Cricetulus griseus: one gene and its partners. The protein of the gene in region 1 binds, or shares a complex with, the protein of each later gene. Links are inferred from orthologs where the notes say so. Each region holds a gene or a part of one and is shown in the gene's direction. Other genes may lie near its edges. The genes, in order: Edn1, Ednrb and Ednra.

The links.
Region 2: the proteins of Edn1 (region 1) and Ednrb are in contact, whole or in part, in a cryo-EM structure (PDB 8XWP), measured with the Homo sapiens proteins. The link is inferred for Cricetulus griseus from reciprocal best matches to the Homo sapiens genes EDN1 and EDNRB. Residues at the interface, in NP_001403492.1 of Homo sapiens: Cys53, Ser54, Cys55, Ser56, Ser57, Leu58, Glu62, Cys63, Val64, Tyr65, Phe66, Cys67, His68, Leu69, Asp70, Ile71, Ile72, Trp73; in NP_000106.1 of Homo sapiens: Pro88, Pro89, Ile94, Glu95, Ile157, Asn158, Lys161, Glu165, Asp166, Trp167, Val177, Pro178, Gln181, Lys182, Val185, Phe240, Ile243, Met245, Tyr247, Leu252, Ile254, Leu256, Leu257, His258, Pro259, Lys270, Lys273, Leu277, Trp336, Leu339.
Region 3: the proteins of Edn1 (region 1) and Ednra are in contact, whole or in part, in a cryo-EM structure (PDB 8HCQ), measured with the Homo sapiens proteins. The link is inferred for Cricetulus griseus from reciprocal best matches to the Homo sapiens genes EDN1 and EDNRA. Residues at the interface, in NP_001403492.1 of Homo sapiens: Cys53, Ser54, Leu58, Asp60, Lys61, Glu62, Cys63, Val64, Tyr65, Phe66, Cys67, His68, Leu69, Asp70, Ile71, Ile72, Trp73; in NP_001948.1 of Homo sapiens: Tyr68, Gln72, Thr73, Lys74, Tyr129, Asp133, Ile136, Asn137, Lys140, Leu141, Gly144, Arg145, Trp146, Gln165, Lys166, Val169, Glu220, Phe224, Val227, Phe229, Tyr231, His236, Lys237, Thr238, Cys239, Met240, Leu241, Asn242, Gln252, Lys255.

What each region holds. Positions count from the first base shown.
Region 1 is NC_048596.1:261,974,003-261,977,722, forward strand, and holds the end of Edn1 (endothelin-1), read left to right. Parts: intron 1-725; coding exon 726-884; intron 885-1,046; coding exon 1,047-1,160; intron 1,161-2,536; coding exon 2,537-2,639; 3' UTR 2,640-3,176; downstream 3,177-3,720. UniProt on the Homo sapiens protein: Endothelins are endothelium-derived vasoconstrictor peptides. Probable ligand for G-protein coupled receptors EDNRA and EDNRB which activates PTK2B, BCAR1, BCAR3 and, GTPases RAP1 and RHOA cascade in glomerular mesangial cells.
Region 2 is NW_023276807.1:255,426,092-255,430,417, reverse strand, and holds the start of Ednrb (endothelin receptor type B), read left to right. Parts: upstream 1-1,491; 5' UTR 1,492-1,524; coding exon 1,525-2,007; intron 2,008-4,326. UniProt on the Homo sapiens protein: Non-specific receptor for endothelin 1, 2, and 3. Mediates its action by association with G proteins that activate a phosphatidylinositol-calcium second messenger system.
Region 3 is NC_048596.1:153,441,018-153,444,663, reverse strand, and holds part of Ednra (endothelin-1 receptor), read left to right. Parts: intron 1-2,658; coding exon 2,659-2,811; intron 2,812-3,646. UniProt on the Homo sapiens protein: Receptor for endothelin-1. Mediates its action by association with G proteins that activate a phosphatidylinositol-calcium second messenger system. The rank order of binding affinities for ET-A is: ET1 > ET2 >> ET3.

The sequences.
Region 1 (3,720 bases):
GGCAGAGACTGGAGCACAAGCTATAGGTTTCCCTTCTCCCTTTGAGTGGACCAAGGGTATTTCACCCTCGGCCCCCAACACTAGTCCACTCATCAGAAGCAATCCTAAGAAAGAACAAACACATTTATTCTGTCCACAATGGCTGGCCAAATTCCAAACCAAACCAGACCCAAACCGCTGTGGACCTAATCTTTAGCTGTGGTTCTACCAAGGAGAGGGTGACATTCCTTGCTGTGAGAACTGAAGTGGATTCATTGCAAGTGCTTGGGTAGCATTTTGGCGCTAAGCCCTTCATACTCAGTGAGATTTTACCAATCTTGAGGAGCACTGTCCCAGTATGCCTTGATGCACCAGATAGCATGTCTGGCATTATCATCACACATGACTGAAGTAGAAAATCTTGTGTTATGGTTTTGCTTCTGCCCCGTAGTTTTCCTTCTTCCACCCATATCACGTGCTAGAAAAGGAAGAAAACACAAAGCAGAAACCCAAACAGAGGTGTTGTAATTTCATTGAATTAGAGAAAAAAAAAAAAAGAAGCTTGTGTTCTTCCATTTGGGGACATTCACTGGGGGGCACTGAAGGGTAAACATGCCAAATAGCTTCCACACTTTCCCATCATGAGCTGTCCCAATGCTGTCAGAGTTGTATGACCAAAGAATGTGTTATTATAATAAAGACTATTAATTAAGCTAATATCTTTTCCTTCTCTCTTTCTGTATTAGGCGTGTTGTTCCATATGGACTGGGAAGCCCTTCCAGGTCCAAGCGTTCCCTGAAGGACTTACTTTCTCCAAAGACCACAGACCACGGGAATAGGTGTCAGTGTGCTCAGCAAAAAGACAGGAAGTGCTGGAATTTCTGCCAAGGAGGAAAAGAACTCAGGTGAGCAGAAGCCCCTCTACCTGTCAGAGAGTTGTGCAACCCACTGGCCTTCTTCCTATGAAACTGTCTTTTCACTGTAGAGACAGTAGCAGAGGCCTGGAGAGTCAAGGTGAGCCTCAACGTGCCCTTGCTAAAATGCTTTCCCTGTGTGTCTTAACCCAGAGCCCAAAACACCATGCAGAAAGGCTTAGAAGACTTCAAGAAAAGAAAAGCCTGTTCCAAGCTGGGCAAGAAGTGTATCAACCAGCAACTGGTAGAAGAAAGAAAAATAAGAAGGTAAGAGGCTCATGATGACCACTGGCCCTGGACAGCAATGCTAATGCCTCCCTTCCTAGTGGGAAAAGGCTCTTGTACAGGACCAAATTGTCGTGGTCTGTGGACTTAAAAGAGCAAAGGGCTCTTCAAATACTCGGGCCTTGAGTGCAGACACCTGCCCCTTGTGTCTTAGCACACACTGGCCTATAGGTGGACCACACTGAGAGGAGGCTTTGGAATTTGAACATATCCAGGCTTTTCTTCTCTGGTTTTTATGTTCTGCTTGCCTCAAGAAGCTAAAAAATCGGGTCAAGGAAAAAGACATTGAAAAATATTTACATGTATTACCCAAAACGTAGCAGTTAATTATTCAAATGGCCAAAGGAAAATAAAGCCATTAGGTAAGGTTGGTGAGATTTAGAACATGCTGTTTTTCAGGTTTATTCCATTACCATTGCTTAAATATGGAAATTGGAAGAGCCATGCCACTTCTCTTGCTTCCTATGACCCAGGAGAGAGCTGGATTAGGCAATCCCATAGGGGGGCTACAAGAAGCTTTTTGATGATCCTTACAGAGTCTAAACTTTTGAAACTGAGAAGATGGGGGTGTTAAGGGACTCTTGTTCAGACTTGTCACAATGCTCCTATCTCTAGAAGCTTTCCCAAGAAATCCAGGGGCAAGGTGTTCTGAGACCAAAGTGTTCTGATCCCAGTATGGCATCAGGGAGGGACTGCAGAGCTGGTTACTGCTCCTGTGCTGGAAGGCCACAGTTAGCTCCCTTCACCCCTGCCACCTTGGGTTTGCTCTCCACTAGGTCACAGTTGCTGAGTTACCTGAAGACCAGTACCAGTTTGTTACTTTGTCTGATATCAACTACTAACTTGATGCTACAGTTCTTCATCTGTTCTGTCTCATAAACACACACACACACACACACACACACACACACACACACACACACACACACACACATTAAATTACATTAAATTATACATTTTCAACTGTTATCAACTATTCCCTTATTCTTCTTTCCATCCACCTGCTAACTTCCATTTCTTATATGATTTAGAAGGTGCCAATGTGCCACTTCTCCACAGAAGCAGAGGTTGGAGCTGTTCAAACATAGTATTTAGTACCAGAGTCCTCTTAGGCTGCTCATAGGATCCCTCTCTGCAATACTAGGCAGAAATGGCAGGGTTTATTCTCAGTAGTCATAGATACTGCTTGAGGATTTATCAAAGAGTAACACACTGTCACACCTTATAAAAGGCTAGGAACTAGAATTAATGTGTTTGTGTCAAATTCTAAATTTAGATGTTTCCTTAGCCAAGGAGTGATTTCTTTCTTTGTGTATGTGCTTAAGTAACATTTATTTTCTCTTGTCTTGTTTTAATAGGTTGGAGGCCATCACCAATAGCATCAAGACATCTTTTCGTGTTGCAAAGTTGAAAGCTGATCTCTATAGAGACCAGAAGTTGACACACAACCGAGCACACTGACTACCGAGCTTCCCTGTGTTTTGGAAGCCGTCAAGTCCATAGAGCAAGCCCATGGCCAACTCTGCACTCTCCATGCTGGCTGGGTTCTCAAAAAGAACATCCATCCCACTTCTACAGTTTCTAGTTTCAGACTGGCAAGGGACCAGTATCTCTGTTCCAAACATTCCAAGAGAGGTTGAGATGTTCCCCAACCTGTCTTCATTTGCTTCTGCTGGTAGTGACTGCTTTTCGCCCCTTCTCGCTGTTTGGGAATGCCAGCGGACCTCTCAGAGAGCAGAGACATGATGACATTCTAGGGTGGCATCGTCCAGAGAGGAAGGAGATTCCACACCAGGGTGGAGTTTCTGAAGAAAGTCCTTAGGGGGTGTTTGTGTCTGACTCAGGCGCCTGGCACATTTCAGGGAGAAACTCCAAAGTCCATGCAAAAATTTTCTGAGGAATGTACAAATTGAAAACATACTCAAAGGACAAACACTTGAGTTTTTAAAAAAAAAAAAAAAGAAAAAAAGGACAAAGATTTTTTTTAAGTTGTAAAATTCAAAACTCAAAGCAACTGTTACTACTGTACATTAGGATGTGTTTCATGAATATGAGTCTACCTCACCTTACTGCACTGTCATATATATTCCCTACTGTTATTATTCCCTACCTAATTATTGCCTCCCTGTACTCCCTCCTCTCCTGCCACCAGGCTCCCCATCCCCTTTACTGAATCCTCGCCTCATAGAAGTCTAGTCTAATGTGTCAGTCAGTAGTAGATGAAACATTTCCATGCTAATCTGCTAACCCTGATCTATGAGAAAAAGGATGACGGACTCTGGCCCCTGCCCTTGACCTTGGGAGATACAATGAATGGCATAGAGTTGCTTGTGAAAGATCTGGAGAGCTGGTTGTGCTATATAGCAGTAAAAGTTTGTTCCTGTATGTAACTGGCTAATGGAAAAGGTTAGATTGAATTTGATGTACTTATTTTTTTATAGATATTTATATTCAAACAATTTATTCCTTATATTTACCATGTTGAATATATGTCTGGGCAGGCCATATTGGTCTATGTATTTTTTTAAAATGTATTTCTGAA
Region 2 (4,326 bases), on another chromosome or scaffold:
CTTAGCTTTGAGCAAACAGGCAGCTTAGTAGCATTCCCTTCTGTGCCTGAAAGACCGAGCTCAAGAGTGGACAGGAAGAATTTGTTTCGTTGCTGTCTGGTGAAATAAGCATCAGGTTGAATTTGCGAGTCTGCTTCCTGATTATTTTCCTGTCTCTTGTCTCGGGTCCCTTTTAGGCTCCGTAGAAAGATCCCTGTAGGGGCTTGGCGACAGTTCAGTACCCAGGAAGAGCTACACTTGCACACAGTGAAGGATGTCTTTCACTCCTTCTTGCTTTGGGCAATCCCTCCGCCTGAGGAGAAATGATCCTGGCCCTTCCTGTTGACGTGAAACTTAAGGGCAAAGAAAGAAATGAAAGGCAACTCCCCCAGACCAAGCAGATTTCAAGCATCACTAGGGGACATTTCTGTGAGAAGTCAGGATATTCAAAGTCAGATTAACACAGCCTTGTCCTAATCTCCAGCCCCCAGAGTGCCATGGGATACGTAGGATCTTACATAGTTAAACCGCAAATAAACAGTTTCGCGTGGGGCACAGTGAGGACTGCCCCTTCCAGTGGGCAGCTGAGGCTGATACTGTCCAGGCATCGCCCAAGGGGAAAGGTTTTGGCAGGGTCGCTCAGAAAACTCGGGAGGAGTCTGAGGGTGATTGATGCTGGGGAAGGGACGAATGAATAAAAGTACTTGTCTGGGGACAGCAGCGACCCCAGTGAGCTGCTGAGGATCCTGTCTGGCGCTCTCTCAGCCTTGGTCAGAGCCAGAGCTGCCTGCAGCTGAAGGAGCAGATGGGATCCCTCTGCGAGCTGCAAGCCCCCTAGGCGGTTCGATGACCCGGATAGGAGGTTCCCTGCTGGTGGTTGAGCCTGGGGCTTCCAATTCCTGCTAGATAACTAATCATTCTGGGTTAGTGTTGAAATTAAAATATGTGAGACTGGACCTTGCTCTAACAGTTTGGAGACTTTAAAATAAGTAAAATTACACATAGCTGCGATTCACACTGAGATTGGGTTGAAATGCGACTGAATGAAGTCACTTAGAAAACACAAAAGTTGATGCTGACATTCTCTCAGTTCGTGCTGAGTGCATTGATGCATGCCCTTGGCCGCTAGGTGCCTTCTTCATTCTGGGTCCTGAAGCTTAGCTAAAACGGTCTTGCTTCTTCCCGGCAAACACCAGTGTTCTTTCCCTGGGACACCCAGCCTCCCCTGTCTGGAACACCCCTGCCGGAATGCTCCGCCCCACCGCGACTGGTCTACCGCAGGGCCAGGAGCTGGGGATTAAAACACAGCGAGCAGGGTCAGGAAGGAGACTGGATGCGGGCGAGCGGGTGGCGCGCGCCCAAGTTCCCCATTGGCGCGCAAACTGAAGTTACTGCTGCGCGGGTAGTGGCGACAGGGCTAGTGTGAGTGTTTGCAGAGGCGTGGCTGGGGTGGCTGACAAAAGTGCCCTGCCTTCATTCCCCTGTTGGTCTCTAGACTGAAAGCAGCGGAGCGGCTACCGGACTCCCACTGGAGCAAGCTGTAACATGCATCCGCCGGCAAGCCAGTGCGGACGCGCCTTGGTGGCGCTGCTGCTGGCCTGTGGCTTGTTGGGAGTTTGGGGAGAGGAAAGAGGATTCCCACCTGCCCAAGCCACACCGTCTCTTCTGGGGACTAGAGAGGTAATGACACCACCCACCAAGACCTCCTGGACGAAAGGTTCTAACTCCAGTCTGACGCGTTCCTCAGCACCTGCGGAGGTGACCAAAGGAGGGAGGGTGGCTGGAGTCCCGCCAAGATCCTTCCCTCCTCCGTGCCAGCGAAATAGTGAGATCAGCAAGACTTTTAAATACATCAACACGATTGTGTCCTGTCTCGTGTTCGTGCTGGGCATCATCGGGAACTCCACGCTGCTGAGGATCATCTACAAGAACAAGTGCATGCGAAATGGTCCCAACATCCTGATCGCCAGTCTGGCTCTGGGAGATCTGCTACACATCATCATCGACATCCCCATTAATGTCTACAAGGTAATGCCCCTGATCTGAGGGGCTGGAAGCGGGACAGGGGTGGGGGGTAAGTGGAACCACCGTTAAAGTTAAAGTACCGGGAAGAGCTTCCTGAGGTACACTGCTCCTCTCCTCCTAGTGACTATTGAACCAGATTTTCTTCTGGGTTTTTTCTTAGCCTCTGACAAGTGTAGCTTTCTGAGCAGTAACACTGTTGTTATTATTATTAGAAAGAAGAATCCAGGCTCCCAACCCAGGCATACTGAATCACAGGCTCTGGAGTAGTTGCGAGACAGTTATATATTTTTAAAATCCTTTCTATGTAACTGTGACAAAATTTAACGTGTGAGAATCACAAGTCCCTTCGTCAGCCTTTCTAGGTACAGCTTCCTGAAAGTATGGTCCACAAACTGGGAGTTTGTCAGGAATGCAAATCTTCCCCAAACTTATGACACACAGATGATTGAAGGGCAAGGTAATTGTAGAGGGCTTTGTTTTGAGGGCCAGGAAAGCAGCGGTCCAGTAAGGATTTAGAAAACTAATGGTTTGGGTGAAAGAGGCCCAGACTGGTAAGTCAGTGAAACTCCAATTCCTTGCTGCAAGTAGCCTTGGATAGTCTTGATGAAATAAATGGCCTGGTCCAACTATTGAGTTACACGTGTTGCTTCTTTTATCCACTCCAGCAACCCACCAATAGACAGTTATTGCCGTTTTAATCATGATTAATAAGATGCTCAAGGGCCCCCCGTGAGGTAGAGGTGGAGATCAGGGTCCAGGATGCCTGGTTCCCAAATGTAAGCTTCCTGATATTATCTCCGCTTACTTCATGGACAAGACAGAGGAGAACTCTGTAATAAGGTCAATAAAAATTTCAATAGTTAAAATTGCTATGATTTCCACAGTTGTCAGAAGAAATGGGCTCAGAGAACAAGGCAGGACTTGTTCTTCCTTATAAAACTAAACAGGTAGTCAACATCCACAGTGTTGACTTCAGGTAGTTTTGGAAGTTAGGACATGTCCTGGCACCTGTGGCTCTCATTTTCTTCCATTTCCCAAGAAAGCTTCCAGTGCCCACCTATGGTGAATTTGTGATGTTAACAAAAACTGACCAAATGAAAGGGCCAGGGATGTTTAGAGTTGTGCAAACATATAGCACTGCTTCCCATTGTTAGCAATAGAGAGTCACACATAAAACAGCCTTGGCGTAAAGGAATGAGACTGTGCATGGCGGACTTGCTGAAGGCCTACCCTGGCCTCTACTCAATGGGAAGACAGTGTTAGGTTAGGGAACGTACTACAACCTAAGTGACATGAGTCGTTATCACAAGGCAACCCTTGACATTTCCCTTCATCGTTCTCTGGGAAGCCTAATCCCAGTAGCCACATTTTAAGGGAATTCCAGACATTTCTGAGGCTTAGAGATGGGACATAGATTAGGATCCAGACCCTGAAGGGAAGTGCTAACAGAAATACAAAGAAGAACTGCAAAAAAAAAAATCTGGGACAGCAAACGCTTTTGACAGACTCTGAGCGTTTGCCTGGAGACACAGCCTGAAAAGTTTCTTAGGTGCAGTCACAGCTCTGGTGGGATATGAAGCGACCCACTTGCTTCTTACAGAGTGGCAAGTTAGGGCTTTCTGTGGTGGCTGAGACACTTTACAGTGGAAAGTGTGGGAAATTTTAACTTAGCTGAGTCAAGATTCCTCTCCATAGTCGAGAGCATATTGTACTTCTGCTAGGTATGCACAGAAAATCAATGGAAGTTCTATTTGGAGCAGCCTCAACTGACCTATACATTCAACCAAATTAGAAACCTCCTGACAGCAGCCAGCCATTGCATGGTTGTGTGGAAGGCAGGGCTAAGAACATTTTCTTCCCTTGTGTTGCCACCAGACCAGATAGACATTGACTCTTCTGAGACCTCTCTACTTTCTGTCTGGTGAAATGACTACTTCCATAACCCTTAGAACATCTGACTGAGCATGTGTGTTTCCTTCCAAGTCCCTCTATTATTTCCCTGGGAAGTTACATCCTTTACCCCGAAGCTATTCAGTGTACTAAAGCTGTGTTTTTACTTCTGGAACAAACTGATGAGTCATTATAAAACTAAACAGGTAGTCATCTAAATTGATCTGAAACTTGGGTCCCACAGCTATGAGTGTCAACATGAGCTCCTACAAATCCTGCCTTGGTGTAGTTTGAGGCAACAACAGTGGCCACTATTTATTGGCCACTATGTACTCATTGTATTTAATTAAATTACTTGGATGACCTGTCACAGGATACCTTGCTATCAGCCCTGATTTAAGTCACTGATGAGGTGAAGAAGTAACTTGCCTG
Region 3 (3,646 bases), about 110 Mb from region 1:
GTTTGGAATTGGGAGGGACACATGAGCATTCTGGACTTTGCAAAGAAAGGCATTATAGGAGAGAGGGTCTCCTAAGAAGTCACTTAACTAACCCCTGGAAAAGGACAACATGGAACAAGTGACGTCATAAAGCCTGAGATATCGAGGCAAGGGTTTGAGAGAGGGAGCGAAGTACTGGCAGGGGTGGCTATGGGTTGCAATGAAGGGTGTGAGTCAAACTGGTGAGGTTTCAGCATCTATTCCAAGTCTGGATACACCTTTTTCTGATATAACTTCCTGTCTCCTTTCATGCTCCTCTCTTCAGCTGTGCTCTACACTAGACTGCCCCAATGCCCTTCCTGTCCCAGGGCCTTTTCCACTCCCCAGCTGATGATGTCAGTCAAAAACAACCGTGTAGCCCCTTTCTCAGTAGGCTTCGGTCATGGAAGGGATACTCCATCCAGCTCAGTCCCGGGTCACCTTCCAAACCCTAGGCAGGTGCTTCTAGGCTATACCCCCTCAGCCTGCAATTCTGTGGGGAAAGGATACAAAAGTGGGGTGTGCGAGGGGGTGGAGGGCTGGGGAAAGCCTCACAGGATGTTTGTACTATACTTCCAAACAAGGAGGGAGTCTGGATTTTTTTTTTAAGTTCCAGACAGATATCCTTCTACAATGGGATGGACTAGGGGAGGTTTTTTTTAACAATCTGAAGAAACAAACTCATTTGGGAGTTTGTATTTAATCTGGGATAGATTTCAGGGGTCTGGGAACTTGGATGGGAAAGAAAATGTGGTTAGTTTTTTATTTTTACTAAATTCCCCCTGGAATGTATAGTCTCCTCTGACTTTCCTTGTTTGTTTGTTTGTTTGTTTGTTTGTTTTTCAAGACAGGGTTTCTCTGTGTAGCTTTGGAGCCTATCCTGGCACTCGCTCTGGAGACCAGGCTGGCCTCGAACTCACAGAGTATGCTATGCAATTTGGTGATGAAGACATATCTTTATCAGAATTTTATTTTCAGTATTTTGATAGCTCCATTTCAATGCAATTGGTTTCCATTGTAACCACATACATTTAACTTTGTCCTTATTAAAATATAATGCTGATGTCTGGGAATTTTATCAGTTGATAAAATAATAAAGTTCAATCCCCCAGAATCCATGTAAAAAGCTGGGCATGATGGCATAGGCTTGTAAAACCAGTGCTGGGAAGGCAAAGGACTACAGGTCACAGGCATTATCCAGATAGCCTAGCCAAACTGGCCAGCCCTAGGTCTCAGTGGGAGAACCTGCCTCAAAAAACAAGGGAGATGTCTCCTGAAGAATGATACCTAAGGTCTTGCCCATGCACACATGAGCACACACACACACACACACACACACACACACACATTCAAGCACACACACCATATTGTTCTCAGAAGGAATTCTCGTGTTCACCAGATTTCTGAGGGTTCTGTGGTATTTAACTGTTATGAAGCCTTGCTTGAATGTTTGTCTTCTGGAACCACTTTTAGATGACTTAATTAGACATAAAGGGTTCCTTTCCATGCACAGAAACTGCCAGTACTCAGGGAACAGGGTGGTCATATTTTCGGGAACAGAAGGCTACGGCACCCTCAGTAAATAAACAGTCTGGAGAAGGAGCATAAGGAAGTAAAGAGCATACCTTCCCAAGTTCAGGGTTAATTCGGGAAAGCATTTGAGTAGTGTTGTTCAACTTTCATTTTTATCCTCCTTTAAAAAGACAGAAAACTGGGGGCTGGAGAGATAGCTCAGTGGTTAAGAGCACTGACTGCTGTGCCAGAGGACCTGGGTTCAGTTCCCAGTACCCTCATTGAAGCTCACAACTGTCTGTAACTCCAGTTCCAGGGAATCTGACATCCTGACACATACATGCAGGTAAAACACGAATGCACATAAAATAAAAATAGTTTTTTAAGACAGAAAACTGAACAATATGGAATTGTATAAATCCTTGCCCACAGAGAGAGAGAGTACCAAGTCAGCCCTTAGCTATAGCTAGAATATCCCCACTCAGTAGTTTCCAGGTGGCAAGTACTGAGAGAGAGAGAGAGAGAGAGAGAGAGAGAGAGAGAGAGAGAGAGAGAGGAGTTGTTGATAACTGAGCTGGCTGACTCTGGGGTCACATAGCAGGCATACCAGGCAAAGGGTCAAGTCCCACTAACCTCAGCCACAGATCAGCCATTCACTGATAGCCTTCAGTGTCCCTACATGAGATACCCACATTAAGCACACTTTAACCACACATATCAAAGAGTCAGCCGATCTTATCAGCAATAAACAAAGATGAAGTCTCAGATCCCATTGTATGAACTTCAAGAGGAGACTCTGCACTGATTAGAGCTCCTCCATTGTGTAATAGAAATGAGCTCAGAGCTCTCAGAAGCACCCTTGGAGGGATAATTGGATAACTTTAATACACATGTCTTCATATGTTACAGCTTAGAGGACAGCACTTTCCTAGTTACTGCAAAGCCCTACTAGGCATGATCCAGTGCTGAAAAATAAAAATTAAAAAACTGAGCACAATGCAAGCTCTTTACTTCCGTCAAAGAGGATATATGTGACTGCATCTACAATCTCAGGGACTGTGAGCAGGCAGGGTACTGCACAGGCAGCTTATGTTTCAGCACCTCTCTTCCCTTTTCCTCACTGAACAGTTTTACCAAGATGTGAAGGACTGGTGGCTTTTCGGGTTCTACTTCTGCATGCCCTTGGTGTGCACAGCAATCTTCTACACCCTCATGACCTGTGAGATGCTCAACAGAAGGAATGGCAGCTTGCGGATTGCTCTCAGTGAACACCTCAAGCAGGTAAATCTCCACAGCTCCCGAGAACTTGGTTGAGGCCGCTTTGAAATCAGCAAGCCCCTTGCTTCTACAAGCATCACAGTCAGCTGCAACTGCACAAATGACTGTGTCTCCGTAAGTTTAAAGTGGAACTGAAAAACTTCATCGCCTCGCATATTTTACAGTATCTTTTCCATGCTAAGATATATTGTGATAGGCAAATGCCAGTGTGTTACAATTGCCTACGCTATCCGGTACAGTAATATGTTAGACAGATGTGTAGTCTAGGAGCAACACGCTGGACCACACAGCTGACTGGGAGGTAGAAAATACCATCCAGCAGTGTGCTTGTACACTCTGGTGTTTGCACAGTGTTGAAATTGCCTAGCTACACATTTTTTCAAAACATATCTGTGTTTTTGAGCGGCACATGACTATGTCGTATGTAACAGATTTATGCTAATTTTCTAAAAATAAAAATGTTCTCTTGTAGCTGTTTTCTTTATATAGTCTTAGGAATTCCTTGTGGGGAGTGGGAATCCTGCCTGTGAACCAGATGGCCCTGGGAGGCTGGGCTTAAAGACAGTTAACTTGTGCTTATTTTGTCAAAAAGTGTACCGAGCATGTGTGCATGGATGCACTGAAATGGGCTTGTGACTGTGCCAGGACAGAAAGATGCATACGACCACATTTCCTTGCGGGCTTTGTAGTCTAGTTGTAGAATAAAATACAATACAAGCAATTAGAAAATAGAATGATGAAGTGCAATCCAAGTAGCCATAAAACACAAAGCCAGGGAATATATGAAATGCAACTATGGAGAAATTGTCTGTAAATGGGGGAGTGTGCGGATAAGTGT